Linked DNA regions of Caenorhabditis elegans. Each later gene encodes a partner of the first gene's protein in a complex. Each region holds a gene or a part of one and is shown in the gene's direction. Other genes may lie near its edges. The genes, in order: eif-3.K, eif-3.F, eif-3.E and eif-3.B.

Region 1 (6,556 bases):
ATACGGTCTCTGCGTCTCTCACTCCTACATCTGATCTCATTTATTTTGCACATATTGATCTACCGTCCGGCTCTAGTATGTAGACATTTTTGTTGAACCTTTTGAAGTATAAGACATATAAAAATGTCTGTATACAAAAGAGTAATTTAAAGGATAAATATCAACTCCAGTCGACAATGTAGTACTAAGTTAACTCAGTACTACATTGTCGATTTTTGAAGGTTTTTTGAATTTAAAAAAAGTTGGCTTAAAGTGAAAAGCGGCTAATGGAAAAACTTATTAGTTGAGTTAAAAGAGAGAAATTTCGGTCCAAAGATTACGCTGGCTACTACAGTACCCTCTTTACTGAAGAGCTGATAACTACATAACAAAATGTTCAGTTTGAAATGATTAATATTTCTTTAGTTGACAATATTTTTCTAACCTGTAAGACAGACTAGTTGCATGTCCCCAAAAGCTACATTGATTAGAAAGTCAAATAACAGTTCATGAAATACTTTTTTTAAAAGTTAGAAGAAAGTATTCACAAAATTGTTAGATATCTCATATAAAATAAGTTCCCAATTGAAATATCAATTTCAGGTTTCAGGACTTAGTGGTATAGCCGGTTTAAGATGGCCAACTTGGAAATGTCAAAATCCCCATAATTTTTTGTATATAGAAATGTAGTTCTTGTTAGTAAAAATTGTTTTAAATCTGCTTGTCATAATATTTGGTTAATAAAATTGTTGTATCTTTAAAGATAACGGAGATTGTAAGGTTTTAATTAAGGGTGGCATGTAAAACCACAGCCATCAAGTTATGGTCGTATCTTTTTATTGAGAAGAGATATCAAAAAACTCTCAACTTAAGAAATGTCTGTCTTTTTGTAATGCTCATTTTGTCAGTTTATCATTAGTCTCTATCTCAAACATGAACAGAGTTATATATGCTCAAAATCTATGAAGTGCATCCACTTTCTACAATCAAGGCTATAGCTGCTACAGTCTACCGTATCATCGATTTCTGCTCAAATTTAAGAACTCCTGTTGAAAACAACGGCAAGGTGGCCAGCAAGCAAACCGCGAGAGAGTTGGTACATTTCTTGTGAAGGAGACCGTGTACAGATTCCACGTCGCGCTGGCCGAGCCTTTGAGGACTAGTAATACGGTGGAGTGTCGTTAGCGCGCTCTGTTTAGCAAACATTTTTCATTTATTTTTAGGGTTTTCAAGAGAACATTTCAATAGTTTTCATCTGTTTTTTTTTGTATTTTTAACATTAGTTGTTTCAATTTTTTTCAGAAATGAAGGTAGTTCTTCAACGAGTTACTCGAGCTGCAGTCACCGTAGGTGATGAAGTGGTAAGAATATATTAACCGTTATTGTTTAAAATATCATAATCAGGTAGGTTCCATTGGAAGAGGTCTGTGTGTGCTTGTCGGAGTTCATCGAGATGACACGGAAGAGGATATGAAGTATATCATTAGGAAAATTTTGAATCTACGAGTTTTCCCTGCTTCGGAACAAAAACCATGGGATAAATCAGTTATGGATCTCGATTTAGAAGTGCTGTCTGTCAGTCAGTTCACCCTTTACGGTCAGTTTAAAGTGAGTTTTGTCTAATATACTTAAACAAAACTATTCATATTATTTCGTTTTTTAGGGAAATAAACTGGACTTTCATACCGCAATGGCCCCAACAGAAGCTTCAAAATTTTATGCTTCTTTTCTTGAAGCCATGAAAAAAGCTTACAAAGCTGATAAGATTCAGGACGGCAAATTTGCAGCAATGATGAGCGTCGATATTGTAAATGACGGACCTGTTACAGTTACTTTTGATAGTAAAGAAAAATAATAAAAATTTGTTTTACTACTGTTGAATTTTGTACAATTTTGTTCATACAGCGGTTTGATTCCGTCATCATATCTTAATTATTTTCATATATTTATATTCTCTGGCAAAACCTCATATTACGTATACCTTAAATGCGAGTTTTCAATATCTTACGCACATTGGTCTCACCACGCAGACGACGACTTACTGTAACTTTTGTCGATTTATGGATTTTGCATTAAATTTTGATTATATAAATCGTAACAGAAATTTTTCCTTTAATTTGAAAATTATGAGGCAAATGTGGCCCTTAATTTGACACCAGTTACAGTAACCCGATATCAGCGTGGCGAAACCCATACGCTGAGTTTTCCTCTAACAATAGTTTTTTCTTATTTCTAATGTAAATCTCATTAAAAACTGAAAAAAAAACTTGGAAAAACGTCTCCATTTCAGTTTGTCTGATAGCAAATCGAGTTCACTGAAATCTCTTAACCCAAATGGGGAGTGCCTCTAAAATCGAGGAAGATCTGTGCAGGATATGCCTTCAGATTTATTCGATGCGCCTTTAAAACTATTGTTATTTTGATTGAGAAAATTTTTTTTCTTTCTCTTAAATATTTTTCTATCAGTTTTGATGTGTTCTGTAGCTTTTTTTCTAATTAATGGAGAAACTTAGCGTAATTTTAATCGATTTGACAAAAGATGTGCGCAACTTTATGCAAGATTTTTTTCACTTTGCGCAGGACTTCATCGAGTCTGTTCAGGAGTTTCACTCTACTTATTATTTCTCGCAGAGTTTCTTTTCTTCAATTGCTATAATTTGTTTTTAAGATGTCGTTCGAGAAACTGCAAAAGGAATTGCACGAAGCTATCGAAGGAGTAAACCGATACAATCCGGAAAATGTTGCCGACTTGGCTGCCTGCGTTCAAGCTATGGTCAATGAAAACAAGTACGATAAAGATATCGTTTTGACCATTCTCAAGCTCTACCAGCTTAACCCGGAGAAGTAAGTATTCAAGAAGATTAATAAATTTCAAAGAGAATTTTTCACAGGTACGACGAGGCTGTTGTTCGACAAGTTTTGCTCAAGACGTTGATGGTTTTGCCATCGAGTGATTTCGCTCTCGCCAAGTGTCTCATCGACACCAACAGACTCGGATCTCAAGAACTTCGCAGAATCTTTGATCTTGGAGCTGTGCTCGAATCTTGCAACTTCGCTGTTTTCTGGAAATTGGTGAAGGGGGCGTATAAAGTGAGTTTTTACACTTTTCAAAGAATAGATTTATCTAATATTGAAACAAGTGAGCTTTTCAAAATCAAACCTTGTTTTGTGTGCATCTGAAACTCAGTATTTATTTCAATGCTGAATCTATTTATTTTTGGAATATTCTTTAATTTCGGCGTACGACTAATCAATTTTTAAAATTTCAGCCAACAACGAACCCAAATGAACCCTTCAAAGTTCCTGGCGAAGTCCCAAAAATGATCAAGCCAATGGTCGGATTCGAGGATGCTGTCAAGCACTGTCAGTTAAATATTATTTTTATTGCTTGACAATTTCAATACCAAGTTTTCAGATGCTTGTCGCGTCATCAGTGTTACGTTCCAAAAAATCGAAAAGAAAATGTTGAGCCGTCTTCTCGGCGGAGCCAGTGACAAGGAAGTTACCGCACTGGCACAATCATTCGGATGGGAAGCCAAGGAAAATGGAGATGTTTTCTTTGTTGCAAATCACGAAGGAACTATCAAAACAAGAAATATCGACGAGAAAATTCAATTCCCACGTGAGTATTATGCGTATTAGGTTTTTCAAACGATTTAAAAAATGTCCTAATAATCGAAGAACAAATTTAAAATGCCTAGTAAAATCTCAAGTGCATCTATCATTTTCAGATGTCGCCGATCTTCTGACCAGCATTCAACCCCCGTTGACTCTTTAATATCAATTATCACTGTCATTCAAATTATAATACCCTTGTTTCTGTTGTTCGGTTTTCCCCCGTTTCTATTCCCTTTCCTATTTATATTTCCTTTATGTTTTCATGAACTTTATTCAATATTCACTTTTACCCGCATTTTATGCATATAATATTTAACATGGATCTTCTTTTAGCGTCAAGTCTCCGTCGTTGCTCCGATGACTCTCAAACCGTCAGGTGCTCTGACTACCCATTCAGGCCACCCGCCAAAATAGATCTTCCCATTGTAACCAGATCGTGTCAAAGCCCACCAAACCATTGCCGATCGAAGTGACGTGGAACAGTATATAATCTGAAGAATATGATCTAGCGAGAAATATTATCATAATTTCAAAAGATTTTAGCATGTCTTCTCGAAGACGCATGGATTCATCCAGATTGGTCTCGACGCGCAAATAAGTTTATGGTACTTCTTTAATTTTGCATTTTTCAATGAAATTATCTTGTTTACAGGGTGGGCCAAAAGTATGGTAACACGTTTGCAGCTCTATAACTTTACTAGTGAAGAGAGTTATTACATCAATTTGTACAAGTTTTGTTCTCCATAAAATACTGACCAGATGAACGTTTTGAATTTTCAAAATGTTCCCATCCGCATCGCTGCAGGCCTTCAGAACTTTTGAGATCACGACCTTTATGGCACGCAAGTCGGCATTCTGCGGTTTTTCTACATTTTTCTCGAGGAATCCATCAAGTGTCTTACAAGTTTTATAGTTCAAAGAATGCTCTTGGTCTAGAGATTCTTTAAAAACAAAAATCCAAATAATTTCTATCACGGTATTTCTGTCATGGACTGCGGCAGTAGGTTAAGTCTTGAATGGCATAGTCGCCAGAAAGATGGATGTGAGCGGCGAGTAGCAGTATGCAGAAAAATTCATTTTAGTATTTTTCGAGACGTTTTGACCTGACTTTCCAGAATTTTTTTAGAAAATTGAGCTCGGATAATTTTGTGGGTCGTTACGCCTTGCGAAACCAAAAAAACTGAGTAAATTTCGCAAAGTTGAATTCATGAAAAATTCAAAGGTTCTTGCTAGGCGCCAGTGTCGACACAGAAAATTTTTATATGCTACAAAAACAATCAAAAACGCTTCTTCACTTCTTTAACTTAAAATTTAACATAAAAATCATACATCTGAAAATTATTGGCGTGCGTGGGAGGTGTGTTTGTGTGGGAAGTGCCGCGTGCCAAATTACCGTTTTTTCGAGGCAATCTATCCCATGCTCACATTTCCCATGCACACATTTCCCATGCTGACACTTTCTCCCGTGCACACAAAATTCCCATGCTTACGCCCAGTAGTTCGAGTACTCCCATGCCTACAATTAATTTTTCTCCTTTTTTTCCGTTCCCATGCTGACATTCCCATACATACATTTTCTCCCGTGCATACAAAATATTCTGATGCTTACATCCAGTAGTCGAAGTACTCCTATGCCTACAACTCATTTTTCCCTTTTTTTTCGTTCCCATGCTGACATTCCCATACATACATTTTCTCCCGTGCATACAAAATATTCTGATGCTTACATCCAGTAGTCGAAGTACTCCTATGCCTACAACTCATTTTTCCCATTTTTTTCGTTCCCATGCTGACATTCCCATACATACATTTTCTCCCGTGCATACAAAATTCCCATGCTTACATCCAGTAGTCGAACGTTCCCATGCCGACATTCCCACACATACATTTGTTCCCATACTTACAAAAATGTATTCCCATGCCGACATGGAGCATTTTTGTGCTCCAGAAGAGCACAAAGTCAATTTTTTTGCTCATTTTCATTGTATTAGGCTTACTTGACAGCTTTCAGTTACAACTGATCGCTTTTTTTTCAAAATGCATTAGTTCTCGATTATGAACAAGGAATCGAAGAAAAATGGGGATGACTGCCTATAGAGTAAAATTTTTTTTTGCTCAAAAAAAATTTTTTTTTTTGAAAATTTTTTTTCTCTCTATTTTGTAGGATATAATTAATTCGGTGAATTCCACAACTTCAAATGTTCATATTGCTGTTTCCGTGCAGTAATGAGTTTCGCAGTGTCTTAGGAACATTCCATTTTTTGTTGCATTTTGTAGGAATTCGGAGCTATCTTATAATTTCTACAAATTAGAAAATCCATTTCACATTATTTCATGTAACTTGAACCTATTGCTTCAAAAATAGCACAGAACGAATGTTGATTCTGTTTCTTTCATTAAAAAATGTGCTACTGTGCATTTTTTCCCACTTCTACGACTTTAAAGGCGCGCGAATTTTCGCGCAATAATCTCGCCACGCGCATCCCATTGATTTGTTGAGCGCTGGCGAGACCAATGACGGGACCATTTTGTATAAATGCGCGCGCCTTTAAAGTCGTAGAAGTGGGAAAAAATGCACAGTAGCACATTTTTTAATGAAAGAAACAGAATCAACATTCGTTCTGTGCTATTTTTGAAGCAATAGGTTCAAGTTACATGAAATAATGTGAAATGGATTTTCTAATTTGTAGAAATTATAAGATAGCTCCGAATTCCTACAAAATGCAACAAAAAATGGAATGTTCCTAAGACACTGCGAAACTCATAACTGCACGGAAACAGCAATATGAACATTTGAAGTTGTGAATTCACCGAATTAATTATATCCTACAAAATAGAGAGAAAAAAATTTTTCAAAAAAAAATTTTTTTTTGTGCAAAAAAAAATTTTACTCTATAGGCAGTCATCCCCATTTTTCTTCGATTCCTTGTTCATAATCGAGAACTAATGCATTTTGAAA
Region 2 (8,006 bases), on another chromosome or scaffold:
GAAAGTATGAGGAGAATTTCTTCTCAACAAGCCAGTTACTACGGGATGGTGTTCTGAAACCATCGCAGATGACAACTCGAAACATGTCATTGGCAGTTTCAGATTGTTTTTGGAGAATGGTTCGGGATTCTATTGAAAGTCAAACTGATGCGTTTAGAGCAGCCAAATTTAATTTAGAAGCTGAATGGAAGAATCACTTTTTGAGAATACGACAACTAAATCGTGACGAGTTATATGACAAAGCAAGAGGAGAAATTCTGGATGAAATTGTGAATTTATCGTTAATCGGAGTTGAAGAATGGGAGAAACTACTTCAAGACAAACTATGGTCAGGAATATCTTCACATGTTTTTGATCAGATATTGATGCCTGCGTATGCTTCTTCAAGTTCCGGATCTTTCAACACAACAGTTGATATCAAGTTGAAACACTTTGCTGATAAGCAACTGGCTCAAAAGAGCATCGAAACCGGATGGGATACTTTGAAAGAAGTTTTCTTTAGACAAATTAATCAAGATGCCAGAACGAAAAAAGATCATGATCCAGTGTTTGATGCTTTAAAGGTAGTTTTTTTTGAATGATTAAAATTTAAATAATTTAATTCCAGGAAGCAGTAATCGAAGAAGCTATGCTGACGCACGGATGGGATGACAAAGCGATGGATTATCTCCGAGTAATTCAATTGAATGCAATGGAGGATCGTGCTGTTCAGGATAAACGATCATGGGATGCTGCATGCAATTTCCTTCACAAGGCTGCATCAGAACGTCTTGCAGCAGTGAAGAAGCAGCTTACTGACGACAGAGGACCGGGTTGGGCATCGAAATGGCTAATGTGGAAGACCCCAACTGCTGATAATCATTATTCATGTGTCATTCAGGACGAGCTTTACTCAATTTTAGGAGCAGATCCAGAGCACAAACAGGCGTTGACTGATGATGATATTACTGTAATCAGAAGAAATATTGAGACGAAAGGCGTACTTGAAGTTCCCACTGAATCGATTAGAAAACAATGGAAATTAGTATTTAAGAAGCACTTTTTGGAGAGGATAATTAATGTAAGTGTGACTGAAACATTTGAAATTAAATTTTTATAAAATATTTTCTGCAGAGCAGCAAGGACTGTCTATCGATGTATCAGATGTATCGTCAAGGAATGATTGAAGGACAAGATATCGATTGCCAAACCATCGTACTTTTCTACAGAATCCAAAAGATGGTCAACTTGACGTGTAACGCACTGCGGCAACAAATCACAAATACTGAACACAGAAGGCTGGAAAAAGAGATTAAGGAGGTGTTGGATGATTGGTCACAAGAGCCAGATATTAAAAAGAAATATTTGACGGGAAGACGTGTCGATCTTGCAGAAGAAATTCGTATGTTTTTTTCTGATCTTCAAATTTTTATTAATGAAAACCTGGATTTCTCATGCAAAGTTATACTTTTAAAATTCTTTAAATTCCAAATGTAATGTAAATTTTTATAATTGAGATTCCATTTTCAATTTCAAAATGTTGCGAAGTTTCATTCAAAACAAAATTATACATTCTCCATTTCAGAACAAGTTCGCCGAATCCAAGAGAAACTCGAAGAGTTCATGGCTCAATTACAACGTGAAAAAATCTGAAATCTCCTCGATGTTTGATCAGCTAAAACGATTTTCTTAGATTCTAGGTGTGTGCAATTGTTTGTTTGTTTGTTTGTTTCTAGTTCTATTATCACATAGACTCGAAAATAGGTTCTCTAAAACATGTAATTTTGTCACTTGTTTTTGTAAGTTTTCATCACGGCTTTTTGGTGCTTTTTTGCCATTTTATTTTATTTTTCCATCCTTTCATTGACACGAAAATGTATAGCTAGTCTTTTGCCTGCCCTCAATTTTTGATAGGTTATCTCAACTTTGAACCGGTTTTTTTGTTGTAAATATGATCTAGGTCTCTAATTATTGTGCTTTTTCCCCAATTTTATAATTTTTTAAAATTTAAACGAAGATTTTTCCCTAAACTAACATTTTCATTTGTTTTTTTTTCGTATTATGCTTCGGTTTTTCGATAGAAAATCCGCTTCTGGGTACCTTTTTTTATCCTGCTACCACTTGTTTAATTTATATTTAGATGTCCATCAACACGGCGAACACGCCGGACGGACTTGGTGTCCTACTGTATAATGGAGAAACCATCGTGATTTTTGCACAAGGAGTAGTAATGACACTAGGAACCAGTGAAAATGAGGTAATTTATTGCAGTATTTTTTTCATATCTTTTAAACACCAAAAATCTTCATTAGCACAAATGCTGAAAATTATAATCATATTTTCGAATTTATAGAATTTGGAAGGACGTCGAACGGGAACCATCTACCTCACATCACACAGAATCATTTTCATGCCAGACCCTGGAGATTGGCTGAAATCATTTGAAATTCCATTCAACAGTATGCAAGATGTTAACTTAAACCAGCCGATTTTCGGAGCCAACTACCTATGTGGAATCGCCTCGGCTGTTCAAGGAGGACAAATGCGCGGAGAGGTTAAATGGAGAATGACATTCAACAGAGGGGGATGTATTGAATTCGGGCAATCTCTATTGCAAGCAGTCGAAAGAGCTGTTCGAATGAGACCAGAGAATGCTCCACCTGCATATTCTCCACCAATTGGAGATTTCTACTCTGCACCGCCAGCTTATTATCAGCCGTCGCCGGATCAAGGTAAGATTTTTTGAACATTAAAAATAATCCTGAATTCGAAATTAAAATTACCTAAAAAATGTTAAGCGTAATCATTAGAGATTTGTATGAATTTGAACATTTTTCACTTTTTTGAAAAACGAAAAAAAAAGGAATCCAAGTTTGAAACATTTTTTAAAATTTTTTAAAGATTAATTTTTAAAAAAACGAGTTTTTTCTTTTTTTTTTCGATCACTTTTTGTTTAAGAGAGATTTTTTGCTAAAAATACCAAAAATCTTCAGTTCTGGTCAGACAGTTTTGCAAAAATGAAAACGTGCTCTAATGCAACTTTCTTCCACCTCGTTGCATTTTTGTTTCACAATTTTGTTGATTTTTGAATTGATTTTACCATCTTTCTTTGGATTTAATGGTTTTCTTATCAAATTCGTTAGAAAAATAATATTAAACCGCATTTAACTTTTTTTTTATTTTAAAATTATTCCCCGGTTAATCCGATTAATAATAGATTTCACATTTTCAGGACCAAATGGTTTCAATCCAACCACCGATTCGTTCCCAGATCAGCCGAACCCATCACGAGTTTTCATGAGCTCAGCACCACCACCATATCCAGGAATCGGACCAGAACGCGGCCCACATCCAACTGAAGAACTTCATGTTGCTGGACAATTTGAAGCACCACCAGCTTATGGTTCAGGAGAAACAGCCGATGGATTGAGGCGAAGAAATTAACTTGTAAATTTAACAACAAAAAATGACATTAGAGAAAGTGTTTAGTTCAAAATTATGGGGAAACACGTAGAAAACAAAGCCAATTTACCCATAATTTTTTTCCGCATCGAAAAATGATTCCAAATAAGCTCAGAAGTCTAGTTGCACACAAAAACTATCTAAAATTCCACCATTTATTTTTTGTTTTTTTTTTTAATTTTTGCACGTCTCTCTAAAAATCTCATGTGAATATAAGTAAAAGTTGTGATAAAACTATAAACTTTCGGTAGACTAAGTCTATGCCCTCTCTCTCTTGATGCCCCCTCTCGTTCCCAGGATAAAGTATATATGTATAAGTGGAATTATATCTCTTTCTCTGATTCACAGAACATTTATTTTATTTTCTCTTTTTTTTCGTTGAAAAACACAATTTTTCTTTTAATTGTAAATAAATAAATAATTTAAAATATTTATTAAGAACTTTATATTTTTTATTGATTTTTTCAAAACCATTTTTCAGTTTTCAGCTGAATTTACTATTTTGATTCAGATTATTTCTTTAATTTAGTTTTTTTTTCAATTACAGGGTTCAGAAAAAAGTCAATATGGCTTCGAATTTAACTGTCAATGTCCACCCGGGAGTCTACATGAATGTTGTCGACACTCATATGAGACGTACCAAGAGTTCTGCGAAAAATACAGGACAGGAAAAGTGCATGGGAACACTTATGGGATACTATGAGAAAGGATCGATTCAGGTAAAAATATTTATAATTACAGAAAAAAGAGCCTAATTTTTTGAAAAAACTGAAATTTTGCAAGCTTATTGGTGTCTGGAACTGTATTTAATCTAATTTTTTTAATTTTATGTAAATACCATCGACCGAAAAAGTATCTAAAACAACGAATAAAAACTCAAAATGACCGAATGCTCAAGTGCTCACACAAAAATATGCCAAAATTTTGAAAAAAGTATACTTTCAGCTAAAATCTTCAATTTTGCAAGCTTTCCCGTGTCACAAAGGTCGGAACTTAATAATATTCAATTATTACAATTTATTGCATTTTTGTGGAACTAGAAGCAAGTTCTGGCCGCTGTAACCCTGAAAAGTTTGCAAAATGGATGATTTTCGCTAATAATATTTTTTTTGGAATTCATGATATTTTCTCCAATTTTTATTTTCCAGGTCACAAATTGTTTCGCGATCCCTTTCAATGAGAGCAACGACGATTTGGAAATCGATGATCAATTCAATCAACAAATGATCTCTGCATTAAAGAAAACTTCTCCAAATGAGCAACCAGTTGGATGGTTCCTTACAACATCTGACATTACTTCTTCGTGTCTCATCTATCACGACTACTATGTACGTGTCATCACTGAAGCATCGGCTCGTCGTGAATCTCCACCAATTGTCGTTTTGACAATTGACACGACTTTCTCTGGAGATATGTCAAAGCGTATGCCAGTTCGTGCCTATCTTCGCTCAAAAGCCGGAATTCCTGGAGCTGCTGGACCACACTGTGCTATTTTCAACCCACTTCGTGTCGAATTAGCTGCATTCCCGGGAGAACTGGTTGCTATGCAACTTATCGAAAAAGCTTTGGATTCCAGAAGAAGAGAGGCAACTCTTGAAAGTGGATTGGAGCAATTGGAGACGAGCACAGCTCAGATGATTGAGTGGTTGGAGAGAATGTTGCAGTGAGTTTTAACATTTAAAATTATCTTAATTGGAGAATAAACCGTGATTTTCAGTTACGTGGAAGATGTTAACAAGAACGGTGAGAAGCCAGGAGATGCTCAAATCGGTCGTCAACTCATGGATATTGTCACTGCCTCGTCAAACAATATGCAGCCAGAGAAGCTCGATACTCTTGTCAAGAATACTCTTCGTGTAAGTTTTCAGCCAAAAATATTTAAAAAGCGAGAAATGAAAAGTTGTGTAATATTCGTACGTGATTTTGAAAATTTCGAATATCTTGATCAAAATAGTTTTTTTTAATAACCTCAAAAAGTTTTTTTGTTGGAAATTAGTAAAGTTTATACGTTTTTCAGTTTAGTACAGAATTGTTAGTTTTTTTTTCTCAAAAATTGAGGAAATTAAATCTTTAGCTAAAAACACGAAAAATCTGCAAATTTAGGGAATGCCTATACATTTTCTGTGCCGCGCGAAACCCGGTAGATGTCGGGATATGATATCCGCTACCCTCCCGAATTTGAAATTAGCGTTTCCAATTTTTTGAAATTTATGCATACAATTAAATTGTCTTTATTATTATCTCAATTAGAGCATTGCACAAACACATAAATAGAAACTTGTAAATAAAAAACTTGTGAAACCTATCTTCTCAATGACCAAAAACCATGAAAAATGGGTGTATACTCATGTAAACAATATGCCCGCGAGAAAAAGCAGTTGACGAGAATCTAAAAACAAAAAAAAGCTAAACCTCTTCAAATATTTGTTTTCTTCTTTTTCAGGACTACGTGATGGTTTCGTACCTTGCCAAATTGACTCAAACTCAACTTCAAGTTCACGAACGTCTTGTGTCGGCCTAATTTTTGTTCTCCACACTATAAACTCGTTTTTGTCCCGATTTTTTCTAATATATTTTTTTTTGGTTGGCGTTTGTTGTTTTTCTTTCCATCCATTTATATCATCCTTCTTCCAATTCTTAAAATATTTCTCCCCATGTTTTCTATCTATCTGCCTTTTTTTTTTAATGGATTGTCTGAAATTAGTATTTGTTGTTTTCTTTTTCTCATAATTTAGCCTTCTTATTGATTTGGTTTTAAAGAAAAATCAATGTTTGAAGGTTTCTGATGATGATCACTTTCTATCGGATAAACCTCGTTGTTAAAGGCGTCTGATGGGATGACTGAATTGTTTTTTGCATGAATTTCTATATCTGGGCTCGGAATAATCTGATTTTGAAATTATCACTAGAGCGTTCAGATCTACATGAGAAAATAATTTTGAAAAAATCGATAAAAAATGAACGATCGAGTGAAAATTCGATGGAAGGAGGCTAAGGAGAGAATTGGAAACGCATATCACGATTATGGACGGTAAATATTTCGAAAAATTATCATGGATTTTAACATAAATCCGAAAAAAAACGAGTGTCCATGTACGAGAGATTTTGTACTACACTCGGACAAGTGTGCATTTTACAAAATCATAGTTTCACAGTTTTTGGCTATTTTTCCTCATTCATTTTGCATTAAATATATACTTTTGCATTAAAATTTTTGCATTACTTGTCCGAGTGTAGTATAATTTTTTTCGACATTCGCATGCTTTTTGTGTCCAATTCATCAGTATTTCTTAATAGTCTATCTGAAAATTTTTGAATAAAGTAGAAGTATAGTTCTTAATAATTTCTCTAGCAAAAAAACCAAGTTTCCGAAAATAAAATTTTTCAGATTATGTGCCGCCCATCCAAAAGCCTGCCTCTCAATGTCCCTTCTCACAATGATTGTCCTCTCATATCCAACAATCACACGTCTCCGTCTACCAGTCAGCACTCCGATTGATGTATTTTGGAGTGAACATTTACATGTTAATGGTAGAATATTCAATTAAAACCCAGAAAATCAGCTAATATTTAGACAAAATCGCCCCCTTCTGGATAAATGAAAATCCGGCATCATACATCCAGCAATTCATTGTCTCCACTACAATATCTCCATGGAATGCAACAGAAATGGGACCGGAGCATGCTGTTCGTGCGGCAATTGCGACGGCTTTTCGAATTCGTCAAATTCTGCTCGCAGAGCCCGCTGTCGAAGAACTATGCCTTCGGCTAGCAAATCAGAGACAAGACTCCTCATGGCCATTTCGTTCAAAATCACTCTGTGTTGTACTCTCGCCCGCCAGTATTTGGTACAATAATCTGCAAAAATTTCGAGAAGACGATGACACAATCACTACGGTTTTTAATGAGCATTGTAAATCCACGTTTTGCATGAGAGATTTGTTGTTGGGAGCACCTATTGCAGCGACAGGCATTAAGCAGAAATATCAGACGAATCGAAAAAGAAGTAGGATTTGAAAGTTAGGAAACATTTACTAATTTTGTATTTTTTCAGAAATCGAATTCGCTGTGACCATGTTTTTTGCAAGATATAGCAAGAAGGTTATTCAAGGAATAAGAGAGAAACTGCAAAAAGAATTTGAATTAGTTGTGAGTTTTGGATTTTACGTTTTCATTTAAAAAAAACAATTAATTTCAGGACACTCCGCCTAACGATCAACGAACATTTGTTCAGGTGTACTTCCATCCACTCAAGACTTTTTCAGATTATATTCCACTGATATCGACTTATTTCGTTTGCATGATCTACGTCTACTATTCTTCTCGTAAAATTCAAATGGTTGCATCTCGATGGGGACTTGCTTTTGCCTCTTCATTTACTGTTGCATCGACACTTCTTATGACAACTGGAATATGTGCTCATTTAGATTTGAGTACGACCACTTGGGGTTCCGAAGTATACCCATATATTGCATTGATTATGGGATTAGAGAACACTTTGTGTATAACTCGAAGCGTTGTTTATACATCTCCATCATTGGATGTTTCATCAAGAATTGCACATG
Region 3 (7,148 bases), on another chromosome or scaffold:
GATACACTGCAAAGGCATGAAATCGCTTTATGACAGACAAACTACAATCTTGTTTTAAAAGAATAAATCTACTAAAATGCTTTATTCACTGTCACAATAAGTTCACATGCCGTTCATCCTTGCTGTCTCTTGACTTCTTTCGGTTTTCCTGAGACAGGAACAATCGGAGTTGCAGGTGACACAATTCGAGTTGCCAATACTTTTGGTGGCTCATTGGGTTTCATGTAGTACGGTTGAGTACGGAGCCATTCAGATTCACAAATTGCTTTGTAGGTCGGACGGTTCGGTGCATGTGGCTGGAGAATCTCAAGGACCAGAGCCTTCGAAAAGACCGATGATGTGCAACTTTTCGGGAATCTGAAATGAGAAATTTAACTTGAGTTGTCTTTTAAAAAAAAACTACTTAATTTTATGTGCCAACTGTCTCTCGATCATTTTCCTTGGGTCACGATCATCAAATGGCATTGATCCAGCCAGCATTATGTAGAGAATGACCCCAGTACTCCATACGTCAACTGCATTTCCAGAATATTCTCTGCCACGAAAAATTTCTGGAGCCACATATGCTCGCGATCCACAGAATGTTCCAGATTTTTCACCCGGTTTCAGAATTCTCGAGAATCCGAAGTCGCCGAGCTTCACATTTCCATGTTTATCCATAAAGATATTTTCGCATTTGAGATCCCGATGCACAATGTTATAGGATTGCAGATGCTGAATTTATAAATTTAAGAAAAACAGTTTTCTGATATAAAACTTACAGTAAGTGCTGCAATAAGTTGACGAAATGTGAACTTTGCATCTTCCTCTTTCATTGCCACGATATCCTTCATTTTACGGAGCAAATCTCCTCCAGCACAGTACTCATTGACGAAGATGATGTGATCTTGAAATGAAATCATCTCGTACAAACGACAAATATTATCGTGTTTCAAGAGCTTGACAATCTCTTTTTCACGTGGCAAAAACTTTTTGATGTAGTCCTCTTTTTCACGAGTTGGCGTAATGTTGATGATTTTCGCTGCAACTTCGAGCTTTTTCTCTCCGAAAGTTGCGCGTGCCACACGGGAATAGGAGCCACTACCTGTAAATTAATGAATTATAAATTGGAATTAATTTCCAAATGATTACCGAGAACTTTCTCAAATTTGAGCTTCCAGACCTTCTCGAGTGTTGGAGCAAAAGCTTTCGTTTTTGGACTCAGTTCATCAGGTTCTTCTTGGTTCTCAGAAACATCTGAAAATTAGTTATTTTCTCTGAAAATCTGCATAAAATTCTTACCTGTATTGTTTTCCGTTGCCATTTCAACAATTTGCCAGAGAAATATGAATTCAAAATACTGCGAAATTGGTCGATTTTGGTTCGATGAATATTGATTAATAGATTTTTCTTCTCGATTCATCAGTTCATCAAGACATTTTCACGTTTCACGAAAGGTCACTTTTTTTTCGATTTTTCCTTGATTTCTCCGTAAATTTTCTTTGTTGAAAATGTTTAATTAACATTTTATCGGGAAATAAAAATGTTCGCTACTAACTATTTGCTTTCTGGCGCCTGTTACACACCTCATAACATGCCTAATTCCTATAATCTGGATTCGATAATATTATAGGTTTCTTTAAAATGAAGTCTTTGAAAAAGCATGGATTAGAATGAAAATATAAATAATATGATAATTTGAGAGTAATTGAATAACATATACATTTATAAAACAGAGGGTAAAATGGAGTAGTGCTAGTGGGGGACATTTTTAAAAATTCGAAAAGACCCAAATATCAAAATATAACATTCCAACTTGAAAAAAAAACTGTTTGCACCCAAAAAGTTAAGATTTGGCAGCTGGAAATCTACCAAAACAGTTTTGAACAAATTTTAGCGGTTATTTGAAAATTGAGATCTAAAAATTGTTTGCCTTTTTTATTTTGATATCTTGGTCAATTTCAGTGTATTCTGACATAACAGCAACTGGCTTAAATTGAATTAATAGTTATCGTTTTTCCATACAACAAAATCAAGGCATTCTTCGATAAAATTGACGGTTGCAATTTGTCCATCGTCGCTCTCAATATCCCATCCAAGTGTACAATCCAATTCGTCTATTTTGTATCTGAATGTTATTATTTTTCAAATAAAATAATTTAGCTTTTTTCCTTTAATCTCTACAGTAGATAGGTAGCAAGAATTTCTTCAATTAGTATGGCACCCCATCGTTCACGGTTGAGAGCTTATATCTCGGTTGTTTTCAAAAATAATTAACTGATGAAATATTTGGTAGTTCTTTTTATATCGTTTTGTAGTTAATAGTTTTATGATATCTTTGAAATGAACCGAGATATAACCTTTCAAAGTAAAGTAGTCTGTTGAACTAATAGAGGAAATACGGTATGTCAAGATCTTTAGAAACAATATGTGTAACCAAGACCCACAAGTCAAACTATATAGTCAGGTTTTGTTTCAACTGGGTGGCACACTACCCTCAAGAATCAGGGCTCTTCATGTAGCCCACTCGCCAGCTCTACGACAAATAATTTATATTCTCACTTGAACACTTTTGGTCTTCGCTTTCCATTCCACGGTCTGTGAATAATTCGATGCATTACTCCTTCATAGTTTTGAGGTCCATATGAATTGAATCGTATTCTTCGTAGATTCGGCATTCCTCCTGACATCAAATACCCGAATTTAATGTTGATCAAACCGAAATGGGGCAACCTGACACCACATGAATTTACGGTCTCGTCTGTTCCCAAAAATTAATAATAAAGCATTCTAAATTTTACTGTTCGCTTTTCTGTGCATTTCAAAATTTGAAATTTCATAAAACTTGTGTCTCTGACACATCGGTAAAATTTGGCACACTATTATTGAGATCGTTGCGGGACCCACTCGAAAAATTAATATGTGATTTTAAACTGACATTTCACAATTACAATATTTAAGCATTGCTTTAAAGCCACACAATGTTTTTCGGGGTGGGTCTCGATACGGGCTCGGGTCTTAATATCTTGTAACTCTTCCTAATCCCAGGAACATTATGATTCGTTCGTAATTTCTCAATTTGAATATTTTAAATTAAAAAACTTTTAACTGAAATTTTAGAACCAAAAAACTCCGAAATATTTTTCAAATGTCGCAAATTGCAGTTTTCGGTTATTCTTCTCGTAGTTCTACTTCTCGCAGTTCTCATTTCGCTGGTGGCTCGTGTTGGCAGGCAGTAGCAACGACACTCCGATATTCCATAGCGCGCGTTGTTTATCATTTCCTCCTTTCCCGGCGAATTTCTCCTAATTTCTCGATTTTCTTTCTGCAATTTCATTGTTTTTGTTTTATTTATGTTTTCCGTTAAGAAAATTGATTGGAGTTTTATTAGAACATATTACTATACTAATACGCTTATTTTACAGGTAAAAATGTCGACATTCGACCTGACTCAGCGCATGGCGCCTTTTCTCGATCTTCATTTGATCATTCCGCTCTTGGAGTTCATCGAACCACGAGGAGTAAGATTTAAACAATAAATTGTTGATTCTGAAATAGCTGAATTTATTTATATCAATGATAATTGCAGATTTACGATGAGAAATCCCTGACCGAAATGCACCGCCAGCTTTTGACCAAGACCAATATGATTGATAGTGTTATAGAGACCTACAATGGAAAACCTATTCCGGCTGCAATTGAGGCTAAGAAGAAGCAAATTATCAAGGAGAGAGATGAGCTGAAAAGCAAGGTGGACTCCGTTGTTGCCATTTTGGAAATACCGGAAGTCAAGGAAATGATGGATAACAACAGAGAAAGAGATGGAAATGTCCGTATTTTGGAGCATCTCACTCAAAACCACAATGTACGTTTTTGCTTTGCAGTTTCGAAAATAATCTTAATTCTTGCAGTTCACAGTAGACATGGTCGATACCCTCTTCAAGTACAGCAAGTTCATGTACGAATGCGGAAATTACACCGTCGCATCCGTGTGCCTTTACTACTACCGCAACCTTGTCAATCAAGCGGATCCAAACTATTTGAACGCTCTTTACGGAAAGTTGGCCAGTGAAATTCTGCTCCAAGAATGGGAACATGCTCGTGACGATTTGCTGAAACTTCGTGCTTACATCGATGCTAATCCATTCGACACGGAATGGGAACTTGTTACGCAACGTGCGTGGCTTATGCACTGGGCACTTTTCGTCTACTACAATTATCCAAAAGGGCGTGATGAGATTATCGAAATGTTCTTGAACCAGCAACCTTATTTGAATGCAATCCAAGTTTTGGCGCCACATTTGCTCCGCTATCTGGCTGTTGCCGTTGTTACCAGCAAAAGCCGCCAGAAGAACAGCTTGAAAGATTTGGTGAAGGTCATTGACATCGTGAGTTTAACTATTTTCTATATGAAAATATGATTAATTATTTGTTTTTCTACAGGAACGCCATAGTTACAAGGATCCCGTCACTGATTTCCTCACCTGTCTCTACATCAAATATGATTTCGACGAGGCTCAAGAGATGCTTCAAAAGTGCGAAGAGGTTCTCTCCAATGATTTCTTCCTGACTGCTGTCCTTGGAGATTTCCGCGAGTCTGCACGCCTTCTCATTTTCGAGATGTTCTGCCGCATTCATCAGTGCATTACCATAGAAATGCTAGCACGACGATTGAATATGAGCCAAGAGGAAGCTGAACGCTGGATTGTTGACTTGATCAGAACGTATCGTATCGAAGGAGCTAAAATTGACAGCAAGTTGGGACAAGTGGTGATGGGTGTCAAATCCGTCAGCATCCACGAGCAAGTCATGGAAAACACGAAGAGATTGACCCTCCGCGCTCAACAAATCGCCCTTCAATTGGAAAAAGGTCGTCAAGACAAAGTCAAGGCGACTTAGGCTTTACAAGTTCTTCCGGTTTTGAATGTTTTTTCCTTTTTCTTCATCTGATGCTGTTCTGAAAATTGAGATGTGGCAAACACGGAGATTAAGACTGTCATCTCTCAGTTTTCAGTATTATTTTTCTTTCTTATTTGTTCAGCTCCTCGGTTTTTTACGAGGACTACTCGAATTCTGTCTTTTCTAAACTTTCCTTATATCCCTGTTGTTTCTTTTTGTTGTCTCTGACCCTTCTTTCGTTAGTGCAGGGGCTGGAGGTTCGGTTCTAATTGGTTAAAATAATATATTTTCTCTTTTATCATGGTTTGATTATTGTTAGAATCTAGGTTTATGAAACCTTTCAATATATATTTATTGCCGTTGCCGAGAAATTGTTTGAAATTATTTTTTGTGAGGAAAAACACTTCCATCTGTATATTTTGTCATTTCTGTTGAATTTGCCTTACTTTTTCGCTAATTACAGAAATATTTAAGCCATAGGTTCGATTTTGCCGTTTAAAAATTAAATCTCCAAAAATACACATTTTCGCCAATTCACAGTTTTTATGAAATTAAATAATTTATCTCACTCTTTTTCAGTATGTCAATGTTACGGCGTCCATTAACACAATTAGAATTGTGTGAGGACGATATCCAATGGCTGACAGATCAACTGAACAAGAGGGTACTTCCAGCTGTGATCGTGCCAAAATGCGAAATGATGGATATTGACGAAATGGAGCCGATGGATCAGAGTGAGCCTCCACGTGGCATAACTAGGAGAAATCTCAGATCGGCGGATAGAAGTGAGATGATGATTTATTTAATTTTTCCTAACCTAGCTTTTTCAGAGAACAGAGACGTTCCAGGACCAAGTACGGGAGAGTGCACGCGTACTTCCATTGCACCGGTAATTTTTTTTTTTAAATTAAATGTTTTAAACATTACCTTTTAGAATCGATGTGAAATGTCATTCACTGAAGTGCAGGTGACATAATTTTGTGTTGTTGGTGTTTCGAACACTTATTTCTATTCACTTTTTCATATTTATCTTATGGCTATTCTCCGTATTTCCAGACTTTAACATCTGCTCGAACTCCTGTCGCTGCTCCAACTCTAACACTTTCGACGCCAGTCAACCCTGTCTCATCAGCTGAAATGTTGAGAGTTATGCCACCTCGTGTAGGTCGACGTCCACGAGCTTCTCGTTCTGGTGACAATGATTCGCCACTCCTCTTCAACGCTTATGATACACCACAGCAAGGAATCAATGACGAATCTCCAACACCCTCTGACTCTCCCGAATCTCCTAATGCTCATCTCTATGGTGGTCAATGAGTTGTTGGAGGAATATTGTCAATATTTTATTTTCAGCTACTCCCGGCAATCCTACTTCAACTTCTGGAGGACCTTCTTCAAATACACGATCTCACAGACACTAACAACTACTGGTCAGGGTTGTGTTTAGGCAAACGTGCAAAACCCGCTTATTTCAATATAATAATTCACTTTTTGATCTAAAATTGATTTAGAAACGTAGAAAAACTTTTAGAGGTCTTCTCAAGCTTTTCATTAAAAGTGAACCGTTTTATACATTTCTATATTTATCAATTTTTAATTTTTTAAAAACTTGGATTGTTATACTGAAATTCGCAGTTTTACACGCCCTGCTACTGATCTCCCTTTCAATTCCAACTTCCTCAGCGTGCTTTCTTCTTTTTTCGAACTAAATAAATTTGTACAATATTTGAAACAAATATTTCTGAAATGCTACATTTACTGTCATAGTCTGTGATTTTTCTATCTTTCTTTGTTTTTTGAAATTCCAATATTTCATTAATTCTTCACCAGCCCTGTTTCAGAAATTGCAAGATGCACGGGTTAAAACGAAGTCTGATGATCAGAACAGTCTGCCGTGGAAAGGCAACAACTGCAGGAGCAGATCTACCACAATCATCACAAGAAATCGAAGTTACCACCCCAAAATCAGAAAATGTTCCAGCCAAATCAGCGAACGCTTCAACTGTATATCGTCCGCCATACTATCGAAAGCCACATCAGCACCACGAGCCAAAGCATATGCTCCAAGAGGAATTTGTGAACGCTGGCGATGCATCTGGAGCAGGAGTTCGCGTTTTCGACTACTACAAGACTGCAGAAATGGTCCATTCAATGCCAACAATTAAAGAGAAAATTGATTTCGTCTCACCGTACGAGCGACCGTGGACCCGCGCAGAAAAGACATGGCGTAGAGATTGGCATCCAACGTTGATGGCAACACGCAAAGCTTG
Region 4 (8,158 bases), on another chromosome or scaffold:
ATCGCGCTCCAATGACAATGTTTGAAGTTTTCAGGCTCACGCGGCGATTCCACGTTGGGCTCTCGCGTTTGGTGGAATAATGCTGTCAGTTGTGGTCGCGGCGATGTACGTGGCAAATTGTATTAGTGAAAAAATGGGTCAAAGGGTAATTTAGAAGTCTTGGGTTTTAAGCTAAAAATCGGAATTTCAGCGGCAAAAATCGCTGGTCCCAAAACGTGGAAACGAGAAGTTCCGGGCGGGATTCGGAGGCGGAGTGATGATGAATAGCTCGGGGAGCCAGAAGAAAAAGTCGGTGATGATGTTCCGGACGTTCTCAAAGAATAATCATAACAATAATAATAATAATAACAATAATCGATTATGAGTGTTTTTTTTCGGGTTTTTAAAATAAAGACTAGCTTGCCTTTTTCTTATCCCTTCTTATTTCATAATATTTTGAATAAATAAAAGATTGCGAAATTCCTATGATAAATTCTTATACGCGGAATCTCCGCTGAAAAAAAGGCAGGAGACTTGAAATTTCGCAATAATTTACCGTCTCCGATACCGCAGGAGTGCACATTTGTAATTGTTCAATGAATCTGTATATTATTTAGTGTAAACTAAAAATTATTTGATGAACACACATGATAAACTTTTAGATAGCACTTATGTACATATACATGAGAAATCCGGTGCTTAGATATGAACTCCTTTTTTTAAGCATAGGTTTTTAGGTTACCTGTTTTAGCGAGTTTGAATTAATCGTGGCAAAACTCACAGTCGTCAATAAAATGAACATATATAAAGTATTCAAACATACAAAGCAACAAAACTAATTGTAAATAAACAAAATTAAAAATATTTTCGATTTATTAAAAGAACAAAACATTATTGCGCTCACCTTGTTTGAATCATGTACGATGCATTATCCGAAACGGCGAGCCTGTAGCACAATAGTGATAACACAGGGTTCCTCTTAACCAAAGCCGTCGGATCCGAAGATCTACTGGCGTTTGATCGAGTTGCCCGCCTTTTTCCTCACGGACTAGATCTCTACCCCACAATGGGATTAAACAAGACCGACCCTAGACAATCCTAGAGTCAGCTTAATCTGCCAGCAGAATCCACTGACCCTTGGGTGGCCGTCCCGTTTTTCAAGATTTCTAGGGATTTGCGACCTTTCTCACGTCACGTGCGTTACCCAGCACCGGCCAAGTGATGCAAGAAAGGGCTTGGAGGTCCACATCCAGTGAGTGCTTAGCTACAGCTAAACGACCACTGGAACAGGAAGTCCCCGGTGATGATCGTATTGAACTACACAACTTTATTGTAGTAAACTACACTACCGGTTATTATATCCAGACATAGTCTCCCGATGAAATACTCTCACTTGTTCAAGTGTGAAACCCGAACCTTGCTCTTGTACAGTTGATAAAACTAATGTAACTCAAAATATGAAACGGCCCAAGACTATGAAAGATATTTTAAGTTTCCAAGTTCTTTCTTAAATTCCAAAACTTCTTTGATTCAACAACTTTCTACTAAAACGCTCATAGCAAATCATCTGCAAGGACGAATCCATTGAGAATAATGTATACTAATCATCATGTTATAGTAAAAATTGCGTGATTTGTACAGTAAAAGGTCAGCAGCATTGTTGTGAGGACTACCCCCTTGGATTGTTGCTTGCTCTTTGATTGTTGAGCGGGCATCGACTGGAGCTCGGTATCGATTGTGCTAGCCAAATAAAAATCGATTAGAGGTGTGGCATTTGAAGAACATCAAATTTCTATAGATACGAAAGTGTCTATATGTATCAAGTAGCAGACTAAAAAAATTCCAAAAAAAATCGCCTACCCCACCTCTATTTTCGATTTTAAATAACCAGTCATTCGATTGAGCGCGCAATTGAGTGCCGCTAGGTCATCAAACAGGGCCGCTCATCGCAAAAACATAGCTTGACAAAATGCTGCTGTGTTACCGTACTAATCATGGAGAACCAAGAATCATCAATCATGAAAAAGCAAGACGATCCGCAGAAGAATAAAAAAGAACTGCTAAAAATCATTTGTGGTTTTGCCTTTAACTTTTCGTTTTATACAAGCTATCCCTTCCGTCGAAGCTGGCAGATTTTGTACCGGCAATACTCTCACTTTTTCCAATGTAAAGCCCAAACCTTTCTGTTGCACAGTCGACAAAACTCATCTAACTCAGAATATGAAACGACCTAACCCTGTCAGAGATATTTTAAGTTTTCAAGTTCTTTCTTAAAATCCAAAACTTCTTTGATTCAACAACTTTTTACTGAAACACTCATAGTCCATACTCTGCAAGGACGAATCCAAAGAGAATAATGTAAACTAATCATCATGTTACAGTAAAACTAACAAAAACACAACTCCGTATCCAGACATAGTCTTCCGATGCAATACACTCACTTTTTCCAATGTAAAGCCCAAACCTTTCTGTTGCACAGTCGACAAAACTCATCTAACCCAGAATATGAAACGACCTAAGACTATCAGAATTATTTTAAGTTTTCAAGTTCTTTCTTAAAATCCAAAACTTCTTTGATTCAACAACTTTTTACTGAAACACTCATAGCAAATCATCTGCAAGGACGAATCCATTGAGAATAATGTATACTAATCATCATGTTATAGTAAAAATTGCGTGATTTGTACAGTAAACGGTCAGCAGCATTGTTGTGAGGACTACCCCCTTGGATTGTTGCTTGCTCTTTGATTGTTGAGCGGGCATCGACTGGAGCTCGGTATCGATTGTGCTATTTACTTAAACAACTGATCGATAAATATATTTAAAATGTACTCGCTGCCGCGTTCTCCGGAAAAAAGGGCAAATGTCCGCATTTCTTCGTAAAGTCTGGTGTTTGCGTACACCCATTTTTCTTTCATTAAATATTTATAAATGCATTGATTCGCGTTTGAGTTTCAAAATTATCTCTATTTGAAATTCCGCGCAAATCTCATGGACGCGGCCTAGGATTCTCTTCGGTCGAGCGCTTGCAACGACGCTCCGTTCTCCCGCATGGGTGTTGTTTAGAGTTTGTTCATATTCCAAATATCGGTCCTATTTTTCAGATTTTCCAGCGTTTTCCAACATTTTTCCACAATTTTCGGAGAAAATTCTGTAAAAATTCAACTTATCTCGTTTTTCCTTCCATTTTCCTTTAAAATATCTCACAATTTACTCAATAAACCGTGTCTAAAGTTTCAGACTAGTTGGGTTACACAGAATGGTCGAAATTGACTTTAATAAAGAGAACGAAGAAGATTTTTCGGATCCGCCAGGATTTGTTGACGACGTCACCGATGATGGTTGGTTTTTTATTCAATTTTTTGAAATCAATTCCAAAAAATAGCCAACAATCAATGTTTTTATTTCAGTTCTCGTTCCTGACGTTCTCCACAAGAAACCAACTATCGATGAATTTGAAGACAATTGCGTCTTCATCGCGGGAATCCCAGTTGTTGGAGCTGACCGTCTTGGAAAACTCCAAAGTGTACTGAAGAAGGTTCTGGAGAGGTTGGATCCTGCAGTGAAGCTCTACATTCCGCCAAGTCCAGAAGGAGGTTGCTTGGTGAGATTCACGCAAACGATATCGATTTTAATATATTTTTTCCAGGGAGTTCTGCTCACCGAGTGGGCCGATCAACGATCCGCTCAGTTCGCCGTGAAAAGTTTGAATGGATATGCTTTCGATAAGAATCACACATTCACCGCCCGTTCTTTCAAGGATATGAAGCAACTCGAAGCTCCTTCCGATCACTGGACAACTCCAGAGAAGCAGGCTTATAATGACGTTGGAGATCTCTGGTGGTGGCTTCAAAACGAGCGTTGCCGTGATCAGTTCGCAATTTCCCACGATAAACTTGGAGTTCCAACTGTCGGAGTGTTCACCAATATGAAGGGAAATGATCCAGAGCTTGCAGGAGATGCCGATAAGGCTGAAAGAGCTGTAAGTTTTGAGAATTATTTGTTTTTAAAAAATGAAATAATTTTTTTTTCCAGAACTGGACCGAAACCGTCTTCACTTGGTCACCACACGGCTCCTACCTTTCCACGATCCATAAGCAAGGAATCATACTTTGGGGAGGCAAAGACTACGCTCGTGCCCACCGTTTCGCTCATACCAACGTTCAATACATTGATTTCTCGCCGTGTGAGACCTACCTTGTTACCTACGCCGCTCCGGAAGAGTCGAACAGCTGGGGAGACTGTGAGAAGGATAGTTTGAGAATTTGGGACGTCCGAACCGGAGAATTGAAGAAGGCCTTTTCCACTTTCGAGCTCACCGGAAGAACTCAGCTCCCAACCTGGCCATTCTTCAGATGGTCATTCGATGAGAAGTACTTCGCGTGCCTCAAGGCTCCAGAAAAGGATAAGCTTGAGCGTGAGCAGAAGATCAACGGAATTTCGATCTTCGAATCCGAGAAGTTCGAGCTCTATGAAGGCCGTCCCGTGAATATCGAGAATATCAAGCAATTCGAGTGGTCGCCAACATCCACAGTCCTCGCCTACTATTCAGAGTGCACTGACGCCGTTCCAGCCGAGTTTGGACTCTTGCAAGTTCCATCAATGCAGAGACTTCGTTCGGCTCGCGTTCACAATGTCGCCGACGCTCAGATGTTCTGGCAGAAGAGCGGAAAGCGATTGGCCTTCTACACGATGAGATTCAAGAAGAAGGAGTACAGAGAGACCGGAGAAGTCAAATATGTGGTAAGTTTTGAGTTTTTTAAAGGATTTTTTGAGGCCTATGACAATAATAATAATAATGATATAATTTCAGGGAGGATGCCAATACCACGTGGACATCTTCGAGATTGACAAGAAGGACGTTTCCCTTATGAATCTCCCACTTTCGGAGCCATTCATCCATTTCGATTGGGATCCAGAAGGCGATAAGTTCTGTGTGCTCGTGGGAAACACCGCTAAGGCCACTCCACAAGTCTACAAGATCGAGGCTAACAGCCACGCACCGAAGCTTGTGAGCAAGTTGGACGCTGGAGTTCACTTCAATGAGGTTCAATTCGCGCCGAAAGGAGGATGGCTTGCAGTTCTCGCCAAGGTGTCAGCTGGAGGAAACGTCTATTTCATTGATACTTCTTTGTCGGAGGCCAAGAGAACTAATGTTATAGAACATCCACTCTTCAATAAGGGATATTGGGATCCAACTGGAAGATACTTTGTGACATGCTCAACGTTGGGAGGAAGAGCCGGAGCCGATTTGGGTTACCGAATCTTCACATTCCAGGGAAGAGAACTGTGCAGAAAGAATCTCGACCGGCTCGCCCAATTCAAGTGGAGACCACGGCCGCCGGTGAAGTTGAGCGAACAGAAGCAGCGTGAGATCAAGAAGAACTTGAAGAAGACCGCCGCCAAGTTCATCAAGCAGGATGACGACGAAAAGTGCAGAGCCAGTCAGGAGGTTGTTGAGAAGCGACGCAAGATCATGGCTGCCTTCGATATTATTCGAAGCCGGAATCGCGAGCAACTCGACGCCACCCGTGACGAGAGAATCTCTCTTCGAAACGGCGTGGACACAGAAGCCCAACTCGACGAGGACGAATTTGTGGATGAGGAGATTACCATTGCGCTGAGCACAAGCAAAACACAAGCCCCTCTGACGGAGGAGGAGATGAGAGACTAATTAGTTATTTGATTTCCCGGTTTTTCCCCTTTTTTATGCGCTGCTTTTTCTTCCTGATTTCTCGAAGACTTGGAGCGGCGTCCCCTCTTTTTGGTGGTTCCACCATGTACTCGTTTTCGTTTTCCTCTTCATTTTCCCAGTCATGTCGTCATTTTCTGAACAACGCCTTTTTCTATGGCAAATTTAACTTTATGATGCCTGAATGGAGAAGGTTTTTTCAAGCTTCTTTTGGGCGGCCCTAATATTATTTAATTGTTTCTCTCTATCCACTTTAATATCTCTTGTTGCTCCCGTCTCTCCGTGTTTTCTGGTGGTTTTTGCCGATAAAATGTTGATGAATTAGTTGATGTTTCAGATTTTTTCCAAATAAACAGAAGTGAAAATTCATAAATTATATTTTTCAGCGCTATAAAATTGTGATTCTGAAAAAAAAATTCCACGTTTATTAAAAATTCCACAAATGGTGCAATGTGACGTGACGGTGTATGCACACTTTGCATTAAATTTGACGACAAATGTCTCATCGGGTTTTCTGTCAATTTTTAATCCACTTTCTCTATTTTACTCTGTTCTTTTTATACTTTTTTAAAATAAAATTTCTATAAAAAACTTTAAACTTCAATTTTAGCAATTAACCCGTTCATGCACTCATCGTTTTCGGAGCCAAATTCGCCGTTGAAAGAGGTGCTCGTAGATAAGTGGCAGACAGCCTCATGCAGCGATTTGGGCGAAGAATATGTAAAAGTAGGGGTTTTTAATGAGAAAATTTAACGAAAAAAAATCAATTTTTCAGCCGGGACCCCTGGCGAGAGCAAAATTCAACGCGTTGCGAAATAAACGCGAAGCAATTGATCGATTTTTGAAAAAGCACCGAAAAGAGGATCTCAGCTTATATATTGGTAATTTTTATTATAGAATTTGAATTTAAATTTATCAAAAAACGATTTTCAGACGAACTCCGCGATTTTGCGATTTCACCCGGCGGGCTTGTGGACGATGAGTTCCGCGCCGTCATTTGGCCAGTTTTATCCGCGAATTTAGTGCAAAACGATGATTTAGACGATGTTTCTTCGTCCTACGACTCGGATTTCGAATCTGCGCAGTCGGATTTCGACGAGGAGCCTGCTTATGAGGTTTTTACACTGAATATAAATTTTTTAAATATGAAATATAAGCTTGTGTTCCAGGAAAGCGAGGAGCTGACACTAGAAGATTTAAAAGGCCACAAAGAATGGAATCAAGTAGAATTGGACGTTCATCGGACGCTTTCCAGGTTCCCACCGAACATATCAGATACCCATCGAGACGTGCTTCAAACCGAACTCATTCCATTAATTGTACGGGTGCTCAGTATTAATCCACGGTTTAATTATTATCAGGGTGAGTGAAATGATGTGAAAATAAATATAACATAATTTAAATTCAAATTTTCCAGGTTTCCACGACATTTGCCTCACAGTACTTCTAGTTTGCGGCGAGGTAGATGCTCTCCCAGTCTGCTCAAATCTCGCGAAAAATGGCTCATTCAACAACTATTTGCTAAAAACTCTCGAAAAATCCGTAGTCCGAGAGCTGGATCTCCTCTACGTCATCTTGTCACGTGTCGACCCATCTTTGGAGCAAGTTATGCGATCCGTCGAGCTCGGCACCATGTTCGGACTCTCGTGGCCGTTGACCTGGTTCTCACATACACTGAAGCAATATCAGCAGATTGTTCGATTTTTCGACGTCTTCCTCGCCTCCTCGCCACTGCTTCCGATCTACGTGTCGGCGGCTGTCGTCGTGTTTCGACGGGCAAGCATTCTGGCTTGTGAGCGAGAAATGCCATTTCTACATCGTCTGCTCACCGAAATGCCCCACGAGTTGCCCATCGACACGATCATCAAGGATTCTGTGTACGATTTTTGCAGTCAGAAAAAATATTTAAAAAAAATGTTTTTAATTAAAAATTTTTTTTTTTTTGAAAAATAGATTATCAAGCGAATTCTGCAGCTTTTTGAATGGAATTATGGTTTTGCAAGCCCTGTCGATTTACGAAAAATTTTGTACTACACGTGGACAAGTGCGATTTCGAGTTTTTCCGAGATTTTACAGTTTTGGACATTTTTGTTAAATTTTTTCTGCCTTTAACGCGGCCAATATATATTATAAATTCTCGTTTTCTATAAATTTCAACGATGAAAACATTGATTTTTATCTGAAAAAACTGTAAAATTCGAGCATTTTTGCAAAAAACGTTGTTTTTTTAACTAAAAATCTTGTTTTTCAACTTTTTTCTCGAATTTTACAATTTTACAGTTTTTTTTCTCAGTTGAAAATCAATGTTTTCATTGTTGAAATTTATAGAAAACCGCTTTTAAATTTTAAATGCAGAAAAAAATTCGCAAAAATGTCCAAAAATCATGAAATCTCGCGAAAAAATTACCTCACACTTGTCCGCGTGTAGTACAAAATTCTCCGTAAATCGACATGTATCAAAGCGTGCCGCAGGTTCGCAAAACAGTT

Evidence for each region.
Region 2: eif-3.K (region 1) and eif-3.F share a complex: the UniProt entries of both Caenorhabditis elegans proteins name them as parts of the eukaryotic translation initiation factor 3 (eIF-3) complex.
Region 3: eif-3.K (region 1) and eif-3.E share a complex: the UniProt entries of both Caenorhabditis elegans proteins name them as parts of the eukaryotic translation initiation factor 3 (eIF-3) complex.
Region 4: eif-3.K (region 1) and eif-3.B share a complex: the UniProt entries of both Caenorhabditis elegans proteins name them as parts of the eukaryotic translation initiation factor 3 (eIF-3) complex.

What each region holds. Positions count from the first base shown.
Region 1 is NC_003283.11:12,951,355-12,957,910, forward strand, and holds eif-3.K (Eukaryotic translation initiation factor 3 subunit K), read left to right. Parts: upstream 1-2,647; coding exon 2,648-2,823; intron 2,824-2,870; coding exon 2,871-3,069; intron 3,070-3,248; coding exon 3,249-3,342; intron 3,343-3,394; coding exon 3,395-3,601; intron 3,602-3,710; coding exon 3,711-3,757; 3' UTR 3,758-3,875; downstream 3,876-6,556. Other genes in the region: T16G1.18 (uncharacterized protein), read left to right, coding at 1-75, 583-669; pqn-68 (D-aminoacyl-tRNA deacylase), read left to right, coding at 1,284-1,340, 1,384-1,587, 1,643-1,834; mpst-7 (Rhodanese domain-containing protein), read right to left, coding at 3,933-4,088. UniProt on the Caenorhabditis elegans protein: Component of the eukaryotic translation initiation factor 3 (eIF-3) complex, which is involved in protein synthesis of a specialized repertoire of mRNAs and, together with other initiation factors, stimulates binding of mRNA and methionyl-tRNAi to the 40S ribosome.
Region 2 is NC_003280.10:9,327,655-9,335,660, forward strand, and holds eif-3.F (Eukaryotic translation initiation factor 3 subunit F), read left to right. Parts: upstream 1-3,988; 5' UTR 3,989-4,007; coding exon 4,008-4,160; intron 4,161-4,589; coding exon 4,590-5,104; intron 5,105-5,158; coding exon 5,159-5,297; intron 5,298-5,884; coding exon 5,885-5,962; 3' UTR 5,963-6,316; downstream 6,317-8,006. Other genes in the region: eat-3 (Dynamin-like GTPase OPA1, mitochondrial), read left to right, coding at 1-563, 608-1,060, 1,114-1,381, 1,565-1,632; wbp-2 (GRAM domain-containing protein), read left to right, coding at 2,120-2,236, 2,333-2,711, 3,212-3,423; scp-1 (Sterol regulatory element-binding protein cleavage-activating protein), read left to right, coding at 6,399-6,472, 6,830-6,972, 7,016-7,447, 7,496-7,590, 7,640-8,006. UniProt on the Caenorhabditis elegans protein: Component of the eukaryotic translation initiation factor 3 (eIF-3) complex, which is involved in protein synthesis of a specialized repertoire of mRNAs and, together with other initiation factors, stimulates binding of mRNA and methionyl-tRNAi to the 40S ribosome.
Region 3 is NC_003279.8:10,638,538-10,645,685, reverse strand, and holds eif-3.E (Eukaryotic translation initiation factor 3 subunit E), read left to right. Parts: upstream 1-3,404; 5' UTR 3,405-3,410; coding exon 3,411-3,500; intron 3,501-3,568; coding exon 3,569-3,844; intron 3,845-3,890; coding exon 3,891-4,367; intron 4,368-4,422; coding exon 4,423-4,878; 3' UTR 4,879-5,163; downstream 5,164-7,148. Other genes in the region: tag-344 (Protein kinase domain-containing protein), read right to left, coding at 114-357, 404-714, 762-1,084, 1,132-1,236, 1,282-1,402; B0511.17 (DUF4283 domain-containing protein), read right to left, coding at 1,981-2,107, 2,542-2,657; cdc-26 (Anaphase-promoting complex subunit CDC26), read left to right, coding at 5,459-5,663, 5,709-5,767, 5,935-6,187, 6,232-6,299; mrps-30 (Mitochondrial Ribosomal Protein, Small), read left to right, coding at 6,730-7,148. UniProt on the Caenorhabditis elegans protein: Component of the eukaryotic translation initiation factor 3 (eIF-3) complex, which is involved in protein synthesis of a specialized repertoire of mRNAs and, together with other initiation factors, stimulates binding of mRNA and methionyl-tRNAi to the 40S ribosome.
Region 4 is NC_003280.10:14,792,191-14,800,348, forward strand, and holds eif-3.B (Eukaryotic translation initiation factor 3 subunit B), read left to right. Parts: upstream 1-3,213; 5' UTR 3,214-3,238; coding exon 3,239-3,320; intron 3,321-3,389; coding exon 3,390-3,583; intron 3,584-3,628; coding exon 3,629-3,961; intron 3,962-4,014; coding exon 4,015-4,722; intron 4,723-4,792; coding exon 4,793-5,653; 3' UTR 5,654-6,045; downstream 6,046-8,158. Other genes in the region: Y54E2A.10 (uncharacterized protein), read left to right, coding at 35-145, 191-364; tbc-20 (Rab-GAP TBC domain-containing protein), read left to right, coding at 6,296-6,397, 6,447-6,552, 6,605-6,786, 6,841-7,033, 7,089-7,548. UniProt on the Caenorhabditis elegans protein: RNA-binding component of the eukaryotic translation initiation factor 3 (eIF-3) complex, which is involved in protein synthesis of a specialized repertoire of mRNAs and, together with other initiation factors, stimulates binding of mRNA and methionyl-tRNAi to the 40S ribosome.